Tribolium castaneum: one gene and its partner. The protein of the gene in region 1 binds, or shares a complex with, the protein of each later gene. Links are inferred from orthologs where the notes say so. Each region holds a gene or a part of one and is shown on either strand. Other genes may lie near its edges.

Region 1 (4,462 bases):
AAAATCATGAACTTTGACAGAGAAAGTGGGTTTCCGTATAAATTTTCAAGTTTAGACCGCAAAAATGGTTTAAATACGGTTTTCTAAGTTAAAATGCTCTATTTTCCTTTTTTGAAAAATAGTATATTACGTAAAGTGTAATCTGATCAAACCGTTTTGCTGTAGGACTTTTTATATTTCGAATTATGATTTTTTTTAATAAAAAATTTAAAATGTTTCTGTAAGCGAAGCCATTTTCCGGAGCGGTTTCGAGTTTTTACGAAAACATAGATAATTTAAAACGCATTCTTATTCTTACAGTGCGCACAAAAGTTATCGCAAGACATGATTTTTTTTATAATCATATTCATTGGAATTCGAATTATTGGAGTAACGTAATATTTTTTAAATAAGTCTCAGTTCTGCTTACACACATCCGACAGACGATTACCAGTTTACGAGAAAAACGAAAAAAATTATCCTTTTTTTCAGGCGCCAATTAGGCGAAACTATTGAAACAGACGTCAAAAGCTCTACAAACTGGCGTGGGTTTCAAAGCGATAACTCCAAAAAAAATCAATTGTGAAACGCTAGTTACGGTGAAATTAAAAGAGTTACGAAAAAAATCCTATTCCATCGTAAATTACGACAAAACTAATAAAATATAGGTTTAGTAAAGTAATCCGGAGAATCGTTTGCTGTAGAGAAAACTGTCAAATTCTTCATAGTTTTCAAGTTAACAACATATAATTTTTACCTAATTTTGCTTCTTTAGCAATTTTCTCGGAAACTATTAGATGAAATAGGTAGAAAAATGACATTATCATTTTAAAAAACGATAGATAACACGGGCGAACATAGTTTTTAGTGTTTACAATATTGTTGTCAGTTTTTACCAATTTAATTTACTGCTATGACGACATAGCAATAATTTTTACTTATTTCAAAAAATTAAATAAAACCACTCGGTTTTTGCGCTTTTACCTCTCGTGAGAGACATGTTAATTACAACATTACTGTTGGTCCATAAAATGTGATCTCCCAGAAGCAATCCATAAAAAAAACACCCATACGATTTTTTTTAAACGCGAGAGGTATCACATCTAATATTTGAAATTTTTAACTCAATAATTCACTATTAAAAATTTATAATAAACTTTTTTTTATTTGTAAATGTGGTAGAAAAGAAAACAGTGGGTACTACAGAAATCAGAATACAGGAAACATAAAAAACATCTTTGGCTTGTGATAGTTAAAAAAGCTTTCCAAAAATAACAAACTTGATGGGGTAAAGTCTAACAGTTCCTAAATTATTGGCCGATAAATGCTCCAGAAATCGAACTAAATCTCAAAAAAAATCAGTTTTCAAACACGGATACGGTGAAACTGAAAGACCAGAAAAAAGTCTTATTCCATCGTAAAGATAAGATTAAGATTTATCAAACAGAATGTTCAGTAATTTTTCATTTTTTATTTACTCAATTACAGCAAAAGTATTCGAAAAATGGAACCACTTTGATACTCCAATGTAATATAATCCGAAGAATAGATTGACGTCGAGAAAACGGCCAAACTTGTAACAGTTTTGAAGTTATCTACAGAAATAATTTCTTTCTATTTTTGCATTTAGTAGCAATTTCTTCAGTCGCAGATAGAAAATAAAAAAAGCTTTTCAACGATCAATCTTAATAAGGTCGTGGAAAACAGTTCCGGAGTTATTGCCCGATAAATGCTCCGGGTATCGAAATCAACCAAAATTTTCGCAAAAATTGATAAATCTGATTTTATAAAACCGGTTCAATTGACGCTTTTGGCACATCTAAAGGCTCTAGAGAAAAGTCCACAAAAGATAGTTTTCAAGTTATAGGTAAAAATCGTAAATTGAAGTGTTCTCATGTTTTTAACATATCACAACGTAGAGTATGGAATATAATATACGAAATTAAAGCCATAATGAAATTTCCCGCCCCGAAAGTATTTCAAAAAAAGTCAAAGTTGTTAATAAAAAGGGCTTCAATCTGTTTTTTTTTTTTTAATTGAGAATAAATGTCAATGGATGTAAAAAAACTTGGAATAATTTTCTCGTCGTTCTTGAAGATACTTTACCTCATGTTCTTTGAGATAAGCAAAAATGCTATCCCTATACTCCTCCATTTCAAAAAAGACATCTCTAGCATTGGTATTTGTGGAAACCGTTTGCTCTTTGAGCTCAATGTTCTCCACATCTGATTTCTCAATGCTCATCGGAATCTCCGATTTTCTCTTAAGTTGAGGCGCAGTAATTTCCTTCAATTTCTCCAAATTCTTTTTCCTTTCAATTTCGGCAAGTTCTGTCTTCGTGATAAACCTGTCCTCGGCCGTCCCTTTATACACATTACTCTTACTGATAAGTTTGAGCCTTTCATCGATTCTCGCTCTGTATTCATCATCCTCATACACAGTAAACGCCTCAAACTGGGCCACCGGAACCACGACATTCTTCTTATTCTCGTTTTTTTGCCCATTTTCCACCCGGTTTCCCAAAACGGTTGGCTTCTTCGTCTGGCAAAAAAGCAAACGTTTTTCCCATCCAAAGTTACCTCCAACTGTTAATTACCTGTTTTCCTTTAAGGGCTGCGTTATTAACTTTATTACTGTCAATCTCGCCCAGAACGCCCCGTTTTTGCTGGGCAGTCGTTCCCGGTTTTCGGCGCAATTCCGGCACCCGGTTTTCCTGGTCCTGGTGAATTCTTATCGATGCCATTCCTCTAACACACGTGCAAGTTTCTAATACCCGAAAAACGAAAAGTTTGCTGAACCGAAGGCCAAACTGAACCCCAACTTAAACACCCAAGCTACCCCTAACCGACAAAACGACTGTTTTTAACGGCCAGATGCAAAGAGCGCAGAGTGCGGGAAACGAACAGCTGAGAGACCGTTGAAATGACAAACGGGACCAATGGGAGCCCAGATTTAAGCAACGTCACACGAGTGGGGATAACATGTTTTGAAGGGTTTAACGGAATTTTGCACTAAATCAAAAATCAATCGACAATACTTGTTCCCAACCAAATGCCCTATTTGCAAGCAAATGTCTTCATTACAAAAATTGCATTATTCAACCGAATTTACTCGTTTCAAATCAAACGTTTCCCCCACCGTTGTCGGCAACCAATCAAAACTAACGTCATTAATAATGTCAATTGTCAAAAACGAAAAACGTGGTTATAAACAAATTCAATAATGTCAGAACAATACAAGTAATAATTGTAGTACTGTGAATAAATAACAAGGTGATTATCCTATGTTTTAGGATTTTGCACCCCGTCAAGTACTTCCGCGACCACTTGGCCCACAAAATCCGACCTGATGGGCGCGAATTTGGGGAATATCGCCCCATCGTGGTCAATTTGGGCTCAATTTCGACAGCCGATGGGTCTGCGATTGCCAAAGTTGGTCGCACGACGGTAGTTTGCGGCATTAAAGCGGTGAGTGTAATTGGAGGCATTCAATTTGCTAAACCAAACCTTAGGAGTTGTGTCAGCCCAAGGCTGAGGCTGCAAACGAGGGGTTTTTGATCCCCAATGTGGAATTACCACCGTTGTGTTCGTCAAAATTTCGGCCAGGACCCCCAACTGAACAAGCCCAAGTAGCGACCCAGTTAGTTGCCGATATTTTAAAAAACTCTGATTGTTTAGACTTAAAAACGTTATGTATATTTCCAGACAAATTAGCTTGGTGTTTATATGCTGATTTAATTTGTTTGGATTTGGATGGGGCGTTGATAGACGCGTGTGTTGTTGCGTTAATGGCAGCGCTTAAGTCAGGTAAAGACAATATTGTTTTTTTGTGAAAAATATAATTGCGCTTCAGTTACTTTGCCAGCGGTTCAGTACGATCCAGCCCTTGACAACAAGCAAGTGAATGTGCAAGAGAGGAAAGCTCTTAGTGTTACCAACACTCCAATAGCAACAACGTTTGCAATGTTTGATGAGTAAGCTTATCATTGTTGTTGTAAACTTTTTAATTTTTTGATTGTAGTAAAATTCTCATAGACCCAACAGTGGATGAGGAGGACTTAAGTACGTCTTTGGTGACAATTGTGGTGAAGGAAGAAGAGTTGTGTTTTGTTCACAAGCCAGGTGGCTGTGTTTTTACGGAAGAGCAACTTTTAAAGTGTGTGGAAGAAAGTACAAAACGTGCAACTGTGATTGAGGAAATTATAGAAACAGCTTTTAAAAGTTTATAATAAAAACATTTTTTTTTATAAATGTATATCCTATATTATTTAAATAAAAATTTTAACAGGTTCCACAGTAGGTTGTGTGATCATTTAACCGAATTTAAAATTAAATCACCACACATTTATAAAAAAATCTATTGTCTTTGTTACAGGATTGAAAAAATAAAAATCGGGAAAAATCAACACTTTACATTTTAACGAGTATACATATTGGTATTGCCAAATATTCAACACGTGTCTGAATTTATGTACAAAAAATAC
Region 2 (3,218 bases), on another chromosome or scaffold:
AAACGTTCCAATCGAACCCGTTAGAAAACTTGAAAGATGATAAAAACAACTGTCCCCAACATTTTATCTACTCGAAAAAAGACATTCTTATTCCTTATACGGTAACCATCTTAACTATTGTAGCCAATCATCTTTTTTTTTTTTTCAAGGATATTGAATATTTCGCCAACTATCGAAAATCTCTGGGTATCGATGTAACAACTCTCTGTTACGAAACAAGTCCTCATGTTAAACACTACACCGAAAATAAAGAAAGTTACGTGAGTAGCGTATGCAATTTTTTAAATAAATGCCTAAATGGCACAAATTAATTCACACAAAAAACATTTCAACGCTTAATTAAACTTTAGGGTACAATTTATTTTTCTAGACGTTGTTGAATTGCACAAAATGTATTTATTTCAATTGTTTCATTAAAACTATGTTCCCAAATGATCTGCTTTATGTTGCGCCACTGTCCCGCATTTCCTTTCACTGTTACCATAGCTACATTGACGCATCACCATAGCAATATACACGTGCAGCTCGTGCATGATGTATTAAGGAGGTTTTCAAACACAAAAGATTTTTTAAACAAATATATTTAGAAAATAGTCATACTAAACACGATAAACCTAAACCTAACCGCTTATTTAAGGATCGGCTTTATTGACGTATCAACCTTTTGCAAATACGGATGTAAAGCGATTTTTTTGGCCGAAATCCTCTTGGCCGGGTCATAAATCAGCATTTGTTTCAACAAATCTATAGCGTCGCTAGTCATATTTTTTACCTGACTTTCCAAAGTACATGATTTCCAATTAGGGAACGTAACCTTATATTCAGGTAATGTGGACACCCCTGGCCAGATTTCGTCGCTTGGTGTTTTCAAAACCCTGAATCGAAAAAAAATGCAAGTTGTTTTCGTTTCTATAGTTACATGATTTGATTACCGAAAAATGCGGAAAAGTTGGTCGATTTCGGAGTCGCCTTGGAAAAGGGCTTTTTTGTTGGCCATTTCGGCGAAAATGCAGCCCAGAGACCAAATATCAATAGGGCACGAGTAACGTGCAGAGCCGAGGAGCACCTCGGGGGCGCGGTACCACAAAGTGACAACTTCGTGCGTGTAAACGCGAACCGGGACCCCAAAGGCGCGCCCTAGTCCAAAATCGGCCACTTTGATAGCCCCTTCGGAGTTGATGAGCAGATTTTGGGGCTTAAGGTCGCGATGAAGGACTCGTCTTTGGTGGCAGAAGAGAATGGCTTCGTTGATTTGGTAGAGGTAGCTTTTGACGAGTTGGGGGTCCATGTAGGAGCCCTGTGGGATGGTGTCGAGGTACTTCTTTAAGTCCATTGACAAAAATTCAAAAATTAGGTAAAGACGATTCTCTTCCATCATCACGTCTTCCAGGGAGACTATATTGGGGTGTGTGAGCTCCTTCAGGAGGGAGATTTCGCGAATGGCTGTGGAAGGCACACCTTCGTCTTCGGGTTGCAGTCGGATTTTTTTCATTGCGACTAGCTGACCCGTCTTCTTGTTTTTGCCCTTGTACACCACACCGTAAGTGCCTTCACCAATTTTTTCGATCTTGAGGAAGTCATCCATGTTGGCCCCCTGTTTCGACATTGCCCCAATATAACCAAACTTTCCACTTAAAATGACGTTTATAACGTCAAATTGCAATGCCTACACGACCACAAACACGATATTTTATTCAAAGCACACGAGTTTTGTTAATTTTTACACACTTTTAACGGCTCGTTTGAAGAAATATGGAGAAAGTTCGTTGGAGATTTTTGAACCAACCAATCGGGTACAATTATCCCCGTCTCTATCGCACTCACGTCAATCACAATAACCTGTCTTTTTTTTGGCGTAAATAGACACACATTACCAACTTCAGACACACAAAATTACTATACGATCGCCAAATAATAGCTTTGGCCAAAAAATGGGTGTTAAAATCCTTTATTATTGTTGTATAATAATTACAAAATCAAGCATTAATACGTGAATAAAATTACTGACAAAAAAAATCCATTTAACCTTTCAAACTGCTCATTCCGGCTCTCATTATTTCATCAACCAACAATAAATTGCTTGCAATCACCGAACACGAATTAATTATTTGTTTCTTCACGATGTAATTATCGAAAATTCCGGCATCTTTCGGATTAATCGGTTGTCCTGAAGCTAAATCAAGCCCAATTGGTTCCTTATTGTTACGAGATTCTTCTTGAAGTTTTACAATAGTATCCTAAGAACAACAAATAACTATAAAACAATCAATGAGAAAATCACACAAACCTGAGCATCGAAACCAGAATTCGTTGCCAAAACTTTGGGAATTACAAGAAGGGCTTCCGCGTAAGCACCAATTCCAAGACGCGATTTTCCTTTAACGGTGTCCTTGTAAGCCATCAATTCTTTGTGGGCGGTCACCTCAAAAGCCCCTGCGCCTGAAAAATATCACAAAAAACTGTTTTGTGTGCAAAATCAATTTGAATTAAGCGCTATGACATTTAGTGATTTTATTGGTACGGTTGGTAGCGAAACAATTGGCGGTGCATCAAATTTCGTGATGGCCGCTTACCGCTTAGTAAATTCGGGAAAAATCGCTGTTAAATCGGTTATTTCGTGCAAATGTTTGTGCAAAAGTGTTCAAAGACTTTCAGTGTTCCGATGTGTTGATCTAAACGGCGATTTTCAACATTGACAAGTAAGTACCGAAGTTGGGTTTTTGGTGATGGGAGTAGTTGAAGCAACTCGTAAATTCAATTTTTGAGCTCTATTTTAAACGGAAAACGCATTGTGAGTCTAATAAATTAACAATTGTGTGGCCAGGTCAGGTCATTGACCCCTATTTACAATTTCAAAGCCTAGTAACGCACATTTTTAAGACGCGTCACAAAATGACTGTGACGTCATCCATTAAGCAACTAGATATTTTGTTAATTTCGGGAAATGAGTGAGTTTCTGACTGAAAAATAATGCGCTGGAACCTTAAAAAAAGTTCAAAAATAATATAATGCTGGGCTTAATTTTGTAGTTTTGTGCAAATATGCTTGAAAAACGGCCTAAATTTAACGATAGTTTAGATTTTTTACAATTCTTGACTACAAAATTTAAAAAATACACAAATTTGGTGATTTTTTGGGAGATTTATGATGAAATTCAGCAAAAATTCCCATGTAGAAACTCATAAAAAGGATAATTTAATTTTTTTTTAATTCAGTTT

The links.
Region 2: CycA (region 1) and Cdk1 share a complex: the UniProt entries of both Drosophila melanogaster proteins name them as parts of the frs-CycA-Cdk1 complex. The link is inferred for Tribolium castaneum from reciprocal best matches to the Drosophila melanogaster genes CycA and Cdk1.

What each region holds. Positions count from the first base shown.
Region 1 is NC_087402.1:7,980,565-7,985,026, forward strand, and holds the start of CycA (G2/mitotic-specific cyclin-A), read right to left. Parts: upstream 2,914-4,462; 5' UTR 2,723-2,913; coding exon 2,576-2,722; intron 2,521-2,575; coding exon 2,086-2,520; intron 1-2,085. Other genes in the region: exosome complex component RRP43, read left to right, coding at 3,202-3,218, 3,272-3,446, 3,491-3,785, 3,832-3,952, 4,000-4,207. UniProt on the Drosophila melanogaster protein: Essential for the control of the cell cycle at the G2/M (mitosis) transition. Interacts with the Cdk1 and Cdk2 protein kinases to form MPF. G2/M cyclins accumulate steadily during G2 and are abruptly destroyed at mitosis.
Region 2 is NC_087401.1:17,534,678-17,537,895, forward strand, and holds Cdk1 (cyclin-dependent kinase 1), read right to left. Parts: upstream 1,815-3,218; 5' UTR 1,607-1,814; coding exon 933-1,606; intron 876-932; coding exon 629-875; 3' UTR 562-628; downstream 1-561. Other genes in the region: transmembrane protein 53, read left to right, coding at 1-101, 150-311; CCT6 (T-complex protein 1 subunit zeta), read right to left, coding at 2,022-2,237, 2,288-2,439. UniProt on the Drosophila melanogaster protein: Plays a key role in the control of the eukaryotic cell cycle. Required for entry into S-phase and mitosis.